2 linked regions of the Anolis sagrei genome follow. The protein of the gene in region 2 interacts with the protein of the main gene of each other region in a pairwise test. Links are inferred from orthologs where the notes say so. Each region holds a gene or a part of one and is shown on either strand. Other genes may lie near its edges.

Region 1 (8,057 bases), on a different chromosome or scaffold from region 2:
TTCCAGACAGACGCTGGAAGCTCCTCTGCCTCTCTTTCAAATGGCTGAGTGTTTGGCTTTTTTTGGGAAGTGAAACCCTAGAAGCCAGAGCCCGGCGGCGGCCTCCTTCCTCCCCCCTCCCTCCCCCGGAATTTCCCTTCTTTGCCCTGAACTCAACTCCTTCCCTTCCCTTCCCTTCCTCCCCGCCGCCGCCGTCTCAGACGGGCCTGCTGTGCTACAGACGCTCCTCCCTCCCCAAAGGGAGGTGAGGAAGGTTAAGTCTAGCAGAGGCAGCAGCAGCAGACACAAGGGAGGCCAAGGGAGGGAGGAAGGGAGGAAGGAAGGAGGAGAGCAGAACAAGGAGGAGGAAATAAAGGGGTGGTGGGTGGGTTGAAAAGCGCCCTCCGACCCAAACCCTGGATGGAAGAAGAAGAGGGAAGGGAGGGGGGTTTTTAAAGGCGCAGTCCCACCCAAGAGACCCTCTCCCATGAGAGAGGAAGGCCTTTAAAGCTTTAAAGGGGAGCCTTTCTCTCCTTTCTGACCTAAGAAACAACCCTCTTTGCCTTCCTATTCAATCCAAGCAATCTTCTTGGATGGAGGGGGGGGGGGGGTCTTTAAAGACGCTTCCTCCAACGCAACGACCCCCCCCCCCAGGATTTTAAAGGGGAGGGGGGCTTTAAAGGCGCAATCCCCTCTTTCCTGCCTTCCCCCCTCCTCTCGCCTTCCAATCTCAATCGAGATAAAAGCGGGATAGAGACACATAAATATAATAAAGGTCATAATAATAAGGAAAGATAATAATAAGAGGTAAGAAGAAGAAATTATAATAAGGTAATAGGAAGAAATAATAAAAGATAATAATAATAATGATAAGTAAGAAGAAATTATAATCATAAGAGAATAATAGTAAGAAATAATAAGAGATAATAATAATAAGAGATAATAGAAAGCGGGATAGAGACATATAAATATAATAATGGTCATAAGAATAAGAGATAATAAGATATAATAAGAAATTATAATAAGACAATAGTAAGAAATAATAATACTAATCAGATATAATAGAAAGCGGGATAGAGAGATATAAATATAAATAAATAATAGTGGTCATAAGAATAAGAGATAATAAGATATAATAATAAGATAAGAATAAGACACAATAAGAGAATAAAAGAGATAATAATAAATTATAATAAAAGAATAGTAAGAAATAATAATATAGAAAGTGGGATAGAGACATAAATATAATGATGGTCATAATAATATTAATAGATAATAAGAATAAGAGATTATAAGATATAATAATAAGAAATAACAAGAATAAAACTATGTAAGAATAAGACATAAGAAGAGAATAGTAATAAAAGGTAAGACTAAATAATAAGAGAAAATAAAAGAAATTATAATAAGAGAAATTATAATAAAAGATAATAGAAAGCGGGATAGAGATATATAAATATAATAATGGTAATAATAATAAGAAGAGATAAGAAGAGATAAGAAGAAATCAGAATAAAAAGAATAAAAGAAATAATAAGAGATAATAAATAAATGTAGTAATAAGATATAATAAAAAAGAGATATAATAATAATAGAATAAAAGTAAGAAATAATAAGAGATAATAATAAATAATAATAAGAGATAATAGATAAGAGATATTAATAGTAATAAGAGACAATAATAAGACACAATAAGAGATAATAATAAATATAGCAATAATAAGATATAATAAAAAAGATATAATAATAATAATAATAATAGTAATAATAATAGAATAAAAGTAATAAATAAGAGATAATAAGAAATAATAATAAGAGATAATAGAAAGCATGATAGAGATATATAAATATAATAATGGCAATAAGAATAAGAGATAAGAGATATTAATAGTAATAGAAGAGACAATAATAAGACATAATGAGATAGTAATAAATATAGTAATAATAAGATATAATAATAAAGAGATATAACAATAATAAGAGATAATAATAATAAGAGATAATAACAGTAATAATAAGATGTATTAATATGAGATAATAAATAAATATAGTAGTAATAAGATATAATAATAAAGAGATATAACAATAATAATAAGAGATAATAATAATAAGAGATAACAACAGTAATAATAAGACATAATAATAATATGAGATCATAAATAAATATAGTAGTAATAAGATATAATAATTATAAAGAGATATAACAATGATAAGAGATAATAATAAGAGATAATAACAGTAATAATAAGAGATAATAATAAGACATAATATGAGATAATAAATATAGTAATAAGATATAATAATAATAAAGAGATAATAATGACAGTAATAATAAGAGATAATAATAACACATAATAAGAGATAATAAATATAGTAATAAGATATTATAATAATAATAATAAAGAGATATAACAATAATAAGAGATAATAATAATAAGAGATATTAATAGTAATAATAAGAGACAATAATAAGACACAATAAGAGATAGTAATAAATATAGTAATGATAAGATATAATAATAATAAAGAGATATAACACTATATTGGCCTCCCTTGCTTGTGGGAAAGGGGCTCAAGCCCAGCCTCCTCTTCCCCTCATGAATAGTCATAAGCTGTACCCCTCATGAATATTCATAAGCTGTACCCCCTCCTCATGCATATTCATAAGCTGTACCCCCTCATACACACACGAACAAGGCCTTCCTCACCGAAAAAGACACACACACGAAGGAGCAATCCCTCCTCCTCCTCCTCCTCCCCTTCACGCCGCCAGCCAAGCCCAGCAGACAGGAGACCTTTCTCCTCCTTTCCGAGTCAGGGATACACACAGAATATCATCCACACAGGCAGGGGTTGAAACCCGGCTGGCTTCCCTTTCCCCGCAGATTTACCTCAGAGTGACCTGTCCCCCCTCCTGTCCTGGGCGAGAGAGCTCGAACGGAGGGACCGACGTCTCTCTCTCTCTCTCTCTCTCTCCGTCTCCGTCTGTCTGACGACGCGCCGCCTCCCCGTGACCTCACTGCGGAGACAGAGACAGAGGAGGAGGAGGAGGAGGAGGAGGACGTGATGGAGACGGAGACGAGGCGGCGCGCGGGCACGAACCCGGCCACGGCAACGCGCACGCGCGCCCCGCCGCCAAGCCCCGCCCACCGTCTGGACTCCGGCTCCCAGGGAGAGAGAGAGAGAGAGTGACGTCATGCGTCTCCTTCCTTCACAGAGACAGAGTCTAGAAGCCAAGGGCTAGGCCTAGGCCAGGCAGGGGCAAACTTGGGCCTTCCTTCCAGGTGTTTTGGAGTCCAACTCCCACCATTCCTAACAGCCTCAGGCCCCTTCCTTTTCCCCCTCAGCCGCTTAAGCGGCTGAGGGGGAAAAGGAAAGGGCCTGAGGCTGTTAGGAATGGTGGGAGTTGAAGTCCAAAACACCTGGAAGGAGGAGGGCCCAAGTTTGCCCATGCCTGGCCTAGGCTAAGCCTGGGCAAACTTCGGGGGGGGGGGGTTGGACCTCACCTCCCACAATTCCTAACAGCCTGCCTGGGCCCAAGTTTGCCCCATAGTGGTTTTAACAGAAAACGCAATGCAGTCACTCTTGCCTGGCTGGAGCGTGGAGGGAAGCTTGGGATCAAGGAAGGAAGGAAGGAAGGAAAAATAGATGGATAGATAGGAAGATAGATAGGAGGATAGATACATATACAGGAAGATAGATAGACAGAAAGATAGGAAAGTAGATAGGAAGATAGTAAGGTAGTTAGGAAGATAGGAAGATCGATAGAGAGAGAGATAGGAAGGAAGGTAGATAGGAAGATAGAAAGGAAGATTGACGGATCGATAGATAGGAAGGTAGATAGGAAGATACACAGATAGATAGGAAGATCGATAGATAGAGAGAGATATAGATAGATAGATAGATAGGAAGGTAGATATGAAGATAGATAGGAAGGTATATAGGTAGGTAGATAGGAAAATACAGATAGGAAGATTGATAGATAGACAGACAGATAGATAGGAAGGTAGATAGGAAGATAGAAAGGAAGATCGACAGACAGATAAATAGATAAGAAGGTAGATAGGAAGATACACAGATAGATAGGAAGATCGATTGACAGATAGATAGATAGGAAGGTAGATAGAAAGGAAGATCGACAGACCGATAAATAGATAGATAGGAAGATCGATAGATAGACAGACAGATAGATAAGAAGGTAGATATTAAGATCAATAGAAAGGAAGGTAGATAGGAAGATAGGAAGACAGATAGATAGGAAAACAAATAGGAATATAGATAGGAAGACAGATACATAGGAAGATAGATACATAGGAAGGTAGACAGATAGGAAGATAGTTACATAAATAGGAAGGCAGATAGGAAGATAGATACATAGATAGATAGATACATAGGATAGATAGATAGATAGATAGATAGATAGATAGATGCATGCATGCATGCATGCATGCATAGGAAGATAGATACATAGATAAATAGGAAGATAGACAGATAGATAGGAAGATAGATACATAAATAGGAAGATATGTTGTGGGCAGAAGCACATCACCTTGGCATGGACTTCAGAGACCACTAGGTGAAATTCAGGGCATGTAAGGAGTACTACCATTCAAAGAATAGAATTTACCATCTCCGTTAAGGAGTCATAACACATCCATAATATGCACAGTCTCTATGAATCACCAGTCTTGGGACTATTGGCTCAGAGCTGGAGGGGAGCATGGGGGGAGGCGTAAAGTGGCTTGTGAGAAAGATGTGGATTCTGATATTATCATAAGGACAGGTGTTTCTGAGCATGAAAAGAAGGTATGTATCAAGGAGGGGCAGAAGGAAGGAAGGAAAGTTGATTTGTATGTTGTGGTCAGAAGCACATCCCCTTGGCATGGACTTCAGAGATAACTAGATGGTGAAATTCAGAGCATGTAAGTAATGCCATACAAAAGCTGGAGTTCGCTATCTCAGTTATGGAGTCCTAGAATTACCTAGAATTATATGTCTGTAATATCCACAGTCTCTATGAATCTGTGTTTGTGGGATCATTGCCACAATAATTCAAGCCCTTGGTTGTACAACTGCTGTGAAGGATAGAGATCTGGGGTGTAGCATACTGATATTTCTACTCCTTTCCCTCCAGCAATCTCCAGGGACGTTTTACCACCAGTGTTATAGAATGGAGGCAGTTATTGGAGTTGTTACTACAGACTTCTGGGAAATGTAGTTCAGGGCAGAGCCTTTCGAATTCTCAGCCAGAGCGGTCTTCAGCTTCCCTAAATTACATTTCCCAGAGTTCAGCCTCCGTTCTGTAACGCAGGTGGGAAAATGTCCTAGGATGAAGAGAAATTGGGATTCTGCTTCTGATTGTCACACCAGAGACTATTGGGATGGACTACAGCAGTTAGGAATTGTGGGAGTTCAAATCCAAAACACTTGGTGGGCCGAAGTTTGCCACATACTGAGTTGAGCACTTAACCCACTTGTACTTACTTACCTCTCACCTCGCTTTAACTACCTGTGATACATGCTCCTTAAAGGTAGAACAGTTCCTTATTCAGTTATACCTCTCACCCTTTCCTTTTTTTACAACCTAACTGCCTACATGTACTTGCAGGTGAATATAGCACTGAATGAAACATGTAGAATAATCACAGGGTGTCTTAGACCTACATCTGCTGATAGACTGTATAAGCTTGCTAGCATTACCCACCCCCCGATGTGCAAGGAGAAGTTGCTGCCAATCACTAAAGGAATAAGGCTAAACAATGTTAAAGCCACTCACTGTGTGGCTATCAGTCTCCTCCCAATAGACTCAAGTCAAGGAAAATGGTGGACCAGGCATGTAGCCAGGGGGCTTCAGCCCCCCCCCCCCCAAATTCTCAGAGTGGTCCGCAAGAAGGCCTTATTGGTACATTATTTAAACTGTTGTGTTTATTCATATCATGATCTGATCACCATGCTCAATATATCCCATATGCATGGGGGTATTGGGATAATGATACAAAAAGTTTGTTAGGGTAGATCCTCAGCACCCCCTGAATTAAACTCAGCACCCCCTGAATCAAAATCCTGGCTACGGGCCTGATGAGGACCACCACTTCTCTTAATGTTCCCCCAGCAATAGCAAGAGTATCCCTCTGGGCAGCTAAACCAGGAAATCCCAAGTGGATGGCCTCCCACGATGGTCTGCCTCCAGGGGCAAACCAAGAATGGGAAACTTGGAAGTCCCTGAACAGATTCGGAAGCGGAGTGGGCAGATCAAAAGACAACCTGGCAAAATGATACTAATTAAAAGAATCCTCCACCCTGTGCAACTGTGGAGCAGAACAAACAACTCAGCATCTGTATGCTTGCCCACAATGCCCTGCCTCATGCACAGAGGAAGAAAAGTTTCTAGCTATATACAATACGGTCACAGTTGCCTGTCTTTGGTCTAAAATTATTTAGCTGCTTATGCTCCCTTTATCAGTTTTATACTGGTTTATTAATGCAATGCTTTTGACATGAAATAAATAAATACAAAGCTCACTCTTTTACTGATAGAGTAATACAACCAGTAGCTTTGCATTTGTTTATTACATGAAGGTAGCTGAAGGTATACACTTTCATGGTTTGCAGTAAATACCCGTAATTAAATATAAGGGTTGAGATTAGATTAGGGTGGCACGAGTTCAGTTCCCAAAACAGGTCTTGCTGTGTGCCAGTTTGCAATCTCTGCTTCTGTAGTTCTGGATTTCCAATGCGGAAAGGTAAACCACAGCCAGTCCTGCTCTGGACCAAAGAGAAAGTGGTTACTTACATTCTTTCCTCACCATTTTCCAACTAATGTGCCATTGAACATGGCAGCTGTGTTTTGCTCTGCAGCCAAGAAATGGGGCCAAACCTGAGAGTAGAGTTGTTCCTCAACATTTGCAGGTTTGATTATGCATGGATTTGATCACACAGCATCATGATACAAGATGTATATGTGTGTGTACATGTTGTACCAGCAGTAGCTTACAACCCCGCAGACACAGAGACGTAGAACATTTGCTCCAGTTGCACCACTGATAATGACATCTAAGGATGGCATAAGGAAGAGGGAGCAAGCTTGTTTTTTGTCCTGGAAACTAGGACTCGGAGCAATGGGTTCAAATGTCAGGAAATGAGATTCCACCTGATCATTAGGCAGAACATCCTGACCATGAGAGCTGTTTTTAAAATAGCTGCACTGGTGGCTTCTGCAATTGGGTGCTGCTCCCCTTGTCTTGTATGTGTTCCTGTCTTTTTGTGTGTGTTCCTGCTTCTTTTGAGCACTCTTGTGAAGCAAGGAGTTTCTACAGTCAGCGAGTTCTGATACAAATTGGACTGGAATGTGAAAAAGCTATTACAGACAATTTTATATATTTGTATAACATACCATTGGAGGCTGCTAGGATTCCATGGGAGCCTTGGATTACTATTCCTGCTGGAGGTAGGAGGCGGAGGCAAATGGAGAGACAGAAGAAGAAAGAGGGGTTGTCCAGCCGAACCGGCACTCTTACAAGATTGAGAAATTCACCATACAAGCCTGCCATTCCAAGTTTCTGTCTTACTAATGCAAAATCTCTTGTTGACAAAATGGATGAATTAAGGCTATGGAGTGCAAAGAGTAAGTTTCTCAAGGACTGCTGTGTTTTGCTAATTACAGAAACCTGGCTCAACCAACACATTCCAGATGCAGTTGTTGAACTGGAAGGATACATAGTCTAACAGCAGGATAGAAGTAAAGACTAAGGGAGGGGAGAGTTCGTCGTTATGTGAACCAAAGCTGGTGTTGTAATTCAAGGACTAAAGATTCTCATTGCTCTCGAGATCTGAAGTACTTGACTGTCAAATGCAGACCCTTATATCTCCCATGAGAGTTTAATATGGTCATGATAACTTCCGTATATATTCCACCTGATGCTAATAGTAACACAGCACTGGGATTTTTGTATAATGTTGATGAAAAACAGCAGAACAAGTATCCTGATGCTGTGCACATTATAGCAGGGGATTTTAACCATGCTGATTTGAAAGCAGTGCTCCCTAAGTTTTATCAGCATGTTAAGTGTGGCACCAGG
Region 2 (7,110 bases):
TCCCCTGGTATCCGCGGGCCCCCTTGGTGCCCACCTGGAGGGTGGTGATGTGCTTCTCCTCTAACTCCTGAACTAGATACCCTCCCCCGTATCCGCAGCAACCTTCCTTCCCCTCTCCCCTGGTATCCGCGGGCCCCCTTGGTGCCCACCTGGAGGGTGGTGATGTGCTTCTCCTCTAACTCCTGAACTAGATACCCTCTCACGTATCCGCAGCAACCTTCCTTCCCCTCCCCCTCGGTATCCACGGGCCCCCTTGGTGCCCACCTGGAGGGTGGTGATGTGCTTCTCCTCTAACTCCTGAACTAGATACCCTCCCACGTATCCGCAGCAACCTTCCTTCCCCTCCCCCTCGGTATCCGCGGGCCCCCTTGGTGCCCAACTGGAGGGTGGTGATGTGCTTCTCCTCTAACTCCTGAACTAGATACCCTCCCCCGTATCCGCAGCAACCTTCCTTCCCCTCTCCCCTGGTATCCGCGGGCCCCCTTGGTGCCCACCTGGAGGGTGGTGATGTGCTTCTCCTCTAACTCCTGAACTAGATACCCTCCCCCGTATCCGCAGCAACCTTCCTTCCCCTCTCCCCTGGTATCCGCGGGCCCCCTTGGTGCCCACCTGGAGGGTGGTGATGTGCTTCTCCTCTAACTCCTGAACTAGATACCCTCTCACGTATCCGCAGCAACCTTCCTTCCCCTCCCCCTCGGTATCCACGGGCCCCCTTGGTGCCCACCTGGAGGGTGGTGATGTGCTTCTCCTCTAACTCCTGAACTAGATACCCTCCCACGTATCCGCAGCAACCTTCCTTCCCCTCCCCCTCGGTATCCGCGGGCCCCCTTGGTGCCCAACTGGAGGGTGGTGATGTGCTTCTCCTCTAACTCCTGAACTAGATACCCTCCCCCGTATCCGCAGCAACCTTCCTTCCCCTCTCCCCTGGTATCCGCGGGCCCCCTTGGTGCCCACCTGGAGGGCAGCGAAGCCAGCATTATGCTTCTCCTCAAGCTCCTGAACTAGATACCCTCCCCCGTATCCGCAGCAATCTTCCTTCCCCTCTCCCCCGTATCCGCGGGTCCCCCTTGGTGCCCACTTCGAGATCGGCATTGTGCTTCTCCTTGAGCTCCTGATCTAGATACCCTCCCCCTTACCTGTGGCAACCTTCCCCCTCCCCCAGTATCCGTGGGTCCCCCTTTGTTCCCACCTGGAGGGCGGTGATGTGCTTCTCCTCTAAGTCCTGATCTAGATACCCTCCCCCATATCCGCAGCAACCTTCCTTCTCCTCTCCCCCGGTATTCGCGGGCCCACCGGTTGGTGCCCACCTGGAGGTCGGCGAGGTCGGCATTGTGCTTCTCTTCGAGCTCCTGATTTAGATACCCTCCCCCATATCCGCAGCAACCTTCCCCCTCCCCTGGTATCTGCGGGTCCCCCTTGGCGCCCACCTGGAGGGCGGTGATGTGCTTCTCCTCTAACTCCTGATCTAGTTACCCTCCCCCTGTATGTGGGTCCCCCTTGGTGCCCACCTGGAGGTCGGCATTGTGCTTCTCCTCGAGGTCCTGATCTAGATACCCTCTCCCATATCCCTGTATCTAGATACCCTTCCCCGGTATCCGCGGGTCCCCCTTTGTGCCTACCTGGAGGGCGGCGATGTGTTTCTCCTCTAACTCCTGATCTAGATACCCTCCCCTGTATCCCTGTATCTAGATACCCTCCCCCATATCTAGATACCCTCCCCCATATCCGCGGCAATCTCTCCCCCGGTATCTGCGGGTCCCCCTTTGTTCTCACCTGGAGGGAGGTGATGTGCGAGCTCCTGATCTAGATACCTTCCCCCGTATCCGCGGCAACCTCCCCCCTCCCCCGGTATCCGCCCCCCCCCCCCCGTTGGTGCCCACCTGGAGGGCGGCGAGGTCTGCGTTGTGCTTCTCCTCGAGCTCCTGGAGCTGCTTCTCGAGGGCCTCGTTGGCTCCGCGCGTGGCCTCGATCTCGAGGGTCTTGGCCTTGAGGAGGCGGCGGCTCTCGGCCACCTCGTCCTTGGCGGCGCGGGCGGCGTCGGTGTTCTTGGCGGCGCTCTCGGAGAGGACGGAGAAGCGGCTGCGGAACCACTCCTCGGCGTTCTGCATGTTGCGGGCGGCGAGGCGCTCGTACTGGGCGCGGATGTCGCGGAGGGCGGCGGAGAGGTCGGGCTTGGCGCTGGCGCCCAGGTCGGCCTCGGCGGAGAGCTGGGCGCCTTGCTGGGCCACCTGGGCTTGCAGCTCGGCCAGCTCCTCCTCGTGCACCTTCTTGAGGAAGGCCAGCTCGTCGAGGAGCGAGTCGACGCGCTTCTCCAGCTCGGCGCGGCCCAGCGCGGCTTCGTCGGCGGCCTTGCGGGCTTCCAAGAGGCGGGCTTCGGCTTCCTCTCGGGCGGCGGCCTCCTCCTCGACGCGCCCGGCCAGCGCCCGCAGCGTCTCCTCCAAGCCTTCGCGCTCCCCTTGCAGCGCGGCTCGCTCGTGGCCGGCCTCCTCGGCGGCGAGGCGCAGCTCGCGGATCTCCTGCTCGTAGAGGGCGCGGAAGCGGGAGGGCTCGGCGTGCCTCTGCCGCAAGCCCAGCAGCTCCGCCTCCAGCGCCTTGTTCTGCTGCTCCAGCTCGTGGACGCGCTCGATGAAGCAGGCGAAGCGGTCGTTCAGGTCCTGCAGCTGCGCCTTCTCCTGGCTCCGGATGGCCTTCAGGTCGTTGCTCAGCGCCGCCACCTGCGTCAGGTCCAGGCTCTCCGCCGCCAGCGCCGCCGAGAACGACGACGAGGCCGACGACGACGCCGCGTAGCTCCGCCGCACCGACACCGACGACAGCGGCGCGGACAGGCTCGAGTAGGTCGAGCGGGAGGACGCCCCGTAGCCCAGCCCTGCGCCCAAGCCCCGCACCCGCGACGACGACGAGGAGGACACCCCGCCGTCGGCGAAGCGGCGCTTGTAGGCCGGGAAGTACGTCTCGTAGCCGAACGAGCTCATCGTCTTGCCCGAGTTTGCCTCAGAGAGGAGAAGGAGAAGGAGCAGCAGAGGAAGAGACAACCTTCTGCGGAAGAGCGCCGCACTCCGCTCCTATTTATACCCAACAAAGTGGGCGGGGACTCCTCTCGCCACGCCCCTCTCTGCCCGCGTTAAGCCACACCCCCTTTACTGCTGTGGAAGAGAACCACAGACCTAGAGTCGGATTCATAGAATGCTAGAGTTGGTTGAGGCAAAGGTGAATGTTGCAATTAGTATTGAATGGTCTTGCAGCTTCGAAGCCTGGCTGCTTCTAACAGCTACCATCCACTCCAACACCATTCTGCCAAGAAGCAGGAAACTCCCGTTCAAAGCACCCCCAACAGCACCCCCATCCATCCTCTGTTGAAAAGCCTTCAAAGAAAGAGGCTCCACGACACACCGGGGCAGAGAGTTCCACTGCTGAACGGCTCTCACATAGAATCCTAGAGTTGGAAGAGACCTCATGGGCCATCCAGTCCAACCCTATTCTGCCAAGAAGCAGGAAAATCCCATTCAAAGCACCCCCAACAGATGGTCATCCATCCTAGAGTTGGAAGAGACCTCGTGGGCCATCCAGTCCAACCCCATTCTGCCAATTAGAACAAAAAATCCAATTCAAAGCACCCTCAACAGATGGCCATCCAAACTCTGTTGAAAAGCCTTCAAAGAAGGAGCCTCCACCACACTCCAGGGCAGAGAGTTCCACTGCTGAACAGCTCTCACATAGAACCCATTCTGCCCGACAGATGGCCACCCAGCCTCTGTTTCAAAGCCTCCACCGCACTCAGGGGCAGAGAGTTCCACTGCTGAACAGCTCTCACATAGAACCCATTCTGCCCAACAGATGGCCACCCAGCCTCTGTTTCAAAGCCTCCACCACACTCAGGGGCAGAGAGTTCCACTGCTGAACAGCTCTCACATAGAACATTCTGCCATGAAGCAGGAAAATCCCATTCAAAGCACCCTCAATAGATGGTCATCCATCCTAGAGTTGGAAGAGACCTCATGGGCCATCCAGTCCAACCCCATTCTGCCAATTAGAACAAAAATCCCATTCAAAGCACCCCCAACATATGGTCATCCATCCTCTGTTGAAAAGCCTTCAAACAAGGAGCCTCCACCACACGCCGGGGAGGAGAGTTCCACTGCTGAACAGCTCTCACATAGAATCCTAGAGTTGGAAGAGAATTCATGGGCCATCCAGTCCAAACCCATTCTGCCAATTAAAACAAAAATCCCATTCAAAGCACCCCCAACAGATGCCCATCCAGCCTCTGTTGAAAAGCCTCCACCACACTCCGGGGCAGAGAGTTCCACTGCTGAATAGCTCTCACATAGAATCCTAGAGTTGGAAGAGACTTCGTGGGCCATCCAGTCCAACCCCATTCTGCCAATTAGAACAAAAATCCTATTCAAAGCACCCTGACAGATGGCCATCCAGCCTCTGTTTAAAAGCCTCCATCACACTTCGGAGCAGAGAGTTCCACTGCTGAACAGCTTTCACAGTTAGCAAGTTCTAAAAATTATAAAATTCTAAAGATGGTTGAGGCAAGTGTGAATGTTGCAATTGGCCACCTTGATTGGTATTGAATGTTCTTGCAGCTTCAAAGCCTGCTGAATCTACCATCCTTTCCAACCCCATTCTGCCAAAAAGCAGGAAAATTCCACTCAAAACACCCCGACAGATGGCCATCCAACCTCTGTTTAAAAGCCTCCAAAGCTGCTATGAAAGAGAACCACAGACCTAGAGTCATAGATTCATAGAATTCTAGAGCTGGAAGAGGCAAGTATGAATGTTGCAATTGGCCACCTTGATTAGTATTGAATGGCCTCGCAGCTTCAAAGCTTGGCTGCTTCTAACAACTACCATCCAGTCCAACCCCATTCTGCCAAGAATCAGGAAAATCTCATTCAAAGCACCCCCAAAAGATGGCCATCCAACCTCTGTTTAAAAGCCTCCAAAGAAGGAGCCCCCACCACACTCCGGGGCAGAGTGTTCCACTGCTGAACAGCTCTCACGTAGAATCCTAGAGTTGGATAAGACCTCATGGACCATCCGGTCCAGCCCCATTCTGCCAAAAAAACCCAAAAATCCCATTCAAACCACCTTCAACAGATGGCCATCCAAACTCTGTTGAAAAGCCTTCAAAGAAGGAGCCTTCACTACACTCCTGGGCAGAGAATTCCACTGCTGAACAGCTCTCACATAGAATCCTAGAATTGGAAGAGACCTCATGGGGCATCCAGTCCAACCCTATTCTGTCAATAAGCAGAAAATCCCATTCAAAGCATCCCGACAGATGGCCATCCAGCCTCTGTTGAAAAGCAAAGAAGGAGCCTCCACCACACTCCAGGGCAGAGAGTTCCACTGCTGAACAGCTCTCACATAGAATCCTAGATTTGGAAGAGACCTCATGGGCCATCCAGTCCAACCCTATTCTGCCAAGAGATATTGACAAGCTGGAATGTGTTCAGAAGGGGGCGACTCAACTGATCAAGGGTCTGGAGAACAAGCCCTTTGAGGAGCGGCTTACAGAGCTGGGCATGTTTTGCCTGAAGAAGAGAAGGATGAGAGGAGATTTGATAGCCATGTATAAATAAGTGAGAGGAAGCCACAGGGAAGAGATAGCAAGCTTGTTTTCTGCTGCCCTGGAGACTAGGATGCAATGGAACAATGGCTTCAAACTACAAGAAAGGAGATTCCACCTGAACATTAGGAAGAACTTCCTGACTGTGAGAGCCGTTCAGCAGTGGAACTCTCTGCCCTGGAGTGTGGTGGTGGCTCCTTCTTTGGAAGCTTTTAAACAGAGGCTGGATGGCCATCTGTCAGGGGTGCTTTGAATGCAATTTTCCTGCTTCTTGGCAGAATGAGGTTGGACTGGATGGCCCAGGAGGTCTCGTCCAACTCTAGGATTCTTATGATTCTATAAGAAACAGGAAAATCCCATTTAAAGCACCCCCAACAGATGGCAATCCAGCCTCTGTTTAGAAGCCTCCAAAGAAGGAGCCTCCACCACACTCTGGGGCAGAGAGTTCCATTGCTGAACAGCTCTCACATTGCTGACCATCTCTCTGGATCCTAGAGTTGGAGGAGACCTCATGGGCCATCCAGTCCAACCCCATTCTTCCAAGAAGCAGGAAAATCCCATTCAAAGCACTCCTGACAGATAGCCATCTAGCCTCTGTTTCAAATCCTCCAAAGAAGGAGCCTCCACCATAATCCGGGGCAGAGAGTTCCACTGCTGAACAGCTCTCACATTATTATTATTATTGTTATTATTATTATTATTATTATTATTATTATTATTATTATTATTGTGTGAGATCAGATAATCCAGCATATATAATCCAGCATATAGATCTCATTTGCTGTGACCGTACTGTGGTTTTGTGTCAGTAAAATAATAATAACAATAAACTTTATTTATAGCCCGCCACCATCTACCAAAGGAGACTTGGGGGGCTTACATGAGGCTTGGCCCAGCAATAGAATCAGAGAATCATAGAATCAAAGAGTTGGAAGAGACCTCCTGGGCCATCCAGTCCAACCCCATTCTGCCAAGAAGCCGGAATATTGCATTTAAATCACCCCTGACAGATGGCCATCCAGCCTCTGTTTAAAAGCTTCCAAAGAAGGAGCCTCCACCACACTCCGGGGCAGAGAGTTCCACTGCTGAACGGCTCTCACAGTCAGGAAGTTCTTCCTCATGTTCAGATGGAATCTCCTCTCTTGTAGTTTGAAGCCATTGTTCCACGTCCTAGTCTCCAGGGAAGCAGAAAACAAGCTTGCTCCCTCCTCCCTGTGGCTTCCTCTCACATATTTATACATGGCTATCATATCCCCTCTCAGCCTTCTCTTCTTCAGGCTAAACATGCCCAGCTCTTTAAGCCGCTCTTCATAGGGCTTGTTCTCCAGACCCTTGATCATTTTAGTCGCCCTCCTCTGGACACATTCCAGCTTGTCAATATCTCTCTTGAATTGTGGTGCCCAGAATTGGACACAATATTCCAGGTGTGGTCTAACCAGAGCGGAATAGAGGGGTAGCATGACTTCCCTAGATCTAGACACTCTGCTCCTATTGATGCAGGCCAAAATCCCATTGGCTTTTTTTGCCGCCAC

What was found.
Region 1: the proteins of NEFL (region 2) and SKIL interact in binary tests that used the Homo sapiens proteins (3 or more experiments, as listed by UniProt). The link is inferred for Anolis sagrei from reciprocal best matches to the Homo sapiens genes NEFL and SKIL.

What each region holds. Positions count from the first base shown.
Region 1 is NC_090023.1:251,988,627-251,996,683, reverse strand, and holds the start of SKIL (ski-like protein), read right to left. Parts: upstream 3,090-8,057; 5' UTR 2,871-3,089; intron 1-2,870. UniProt on the Homo sapiens protein: May have regulatory role in cell division or differentiation in response to extracellular signals.
Region 2 is NC_090027.1:5,852,658-5,859,767, forward strand, and holds the start of NEFL (neurofilament light polypeptide), read right to left. Parts: upstream 3,048-7,110; 5' UTR 2,973-3,047; coding exon 1,881-2,972; intron 1-1,880. UniProt on the Homo sapiens protein: Neurofilaments usually contain three intermediate filament proteins: NEFL, NEFM, and NEFH which are involved in the maintenance of neuronal caliber.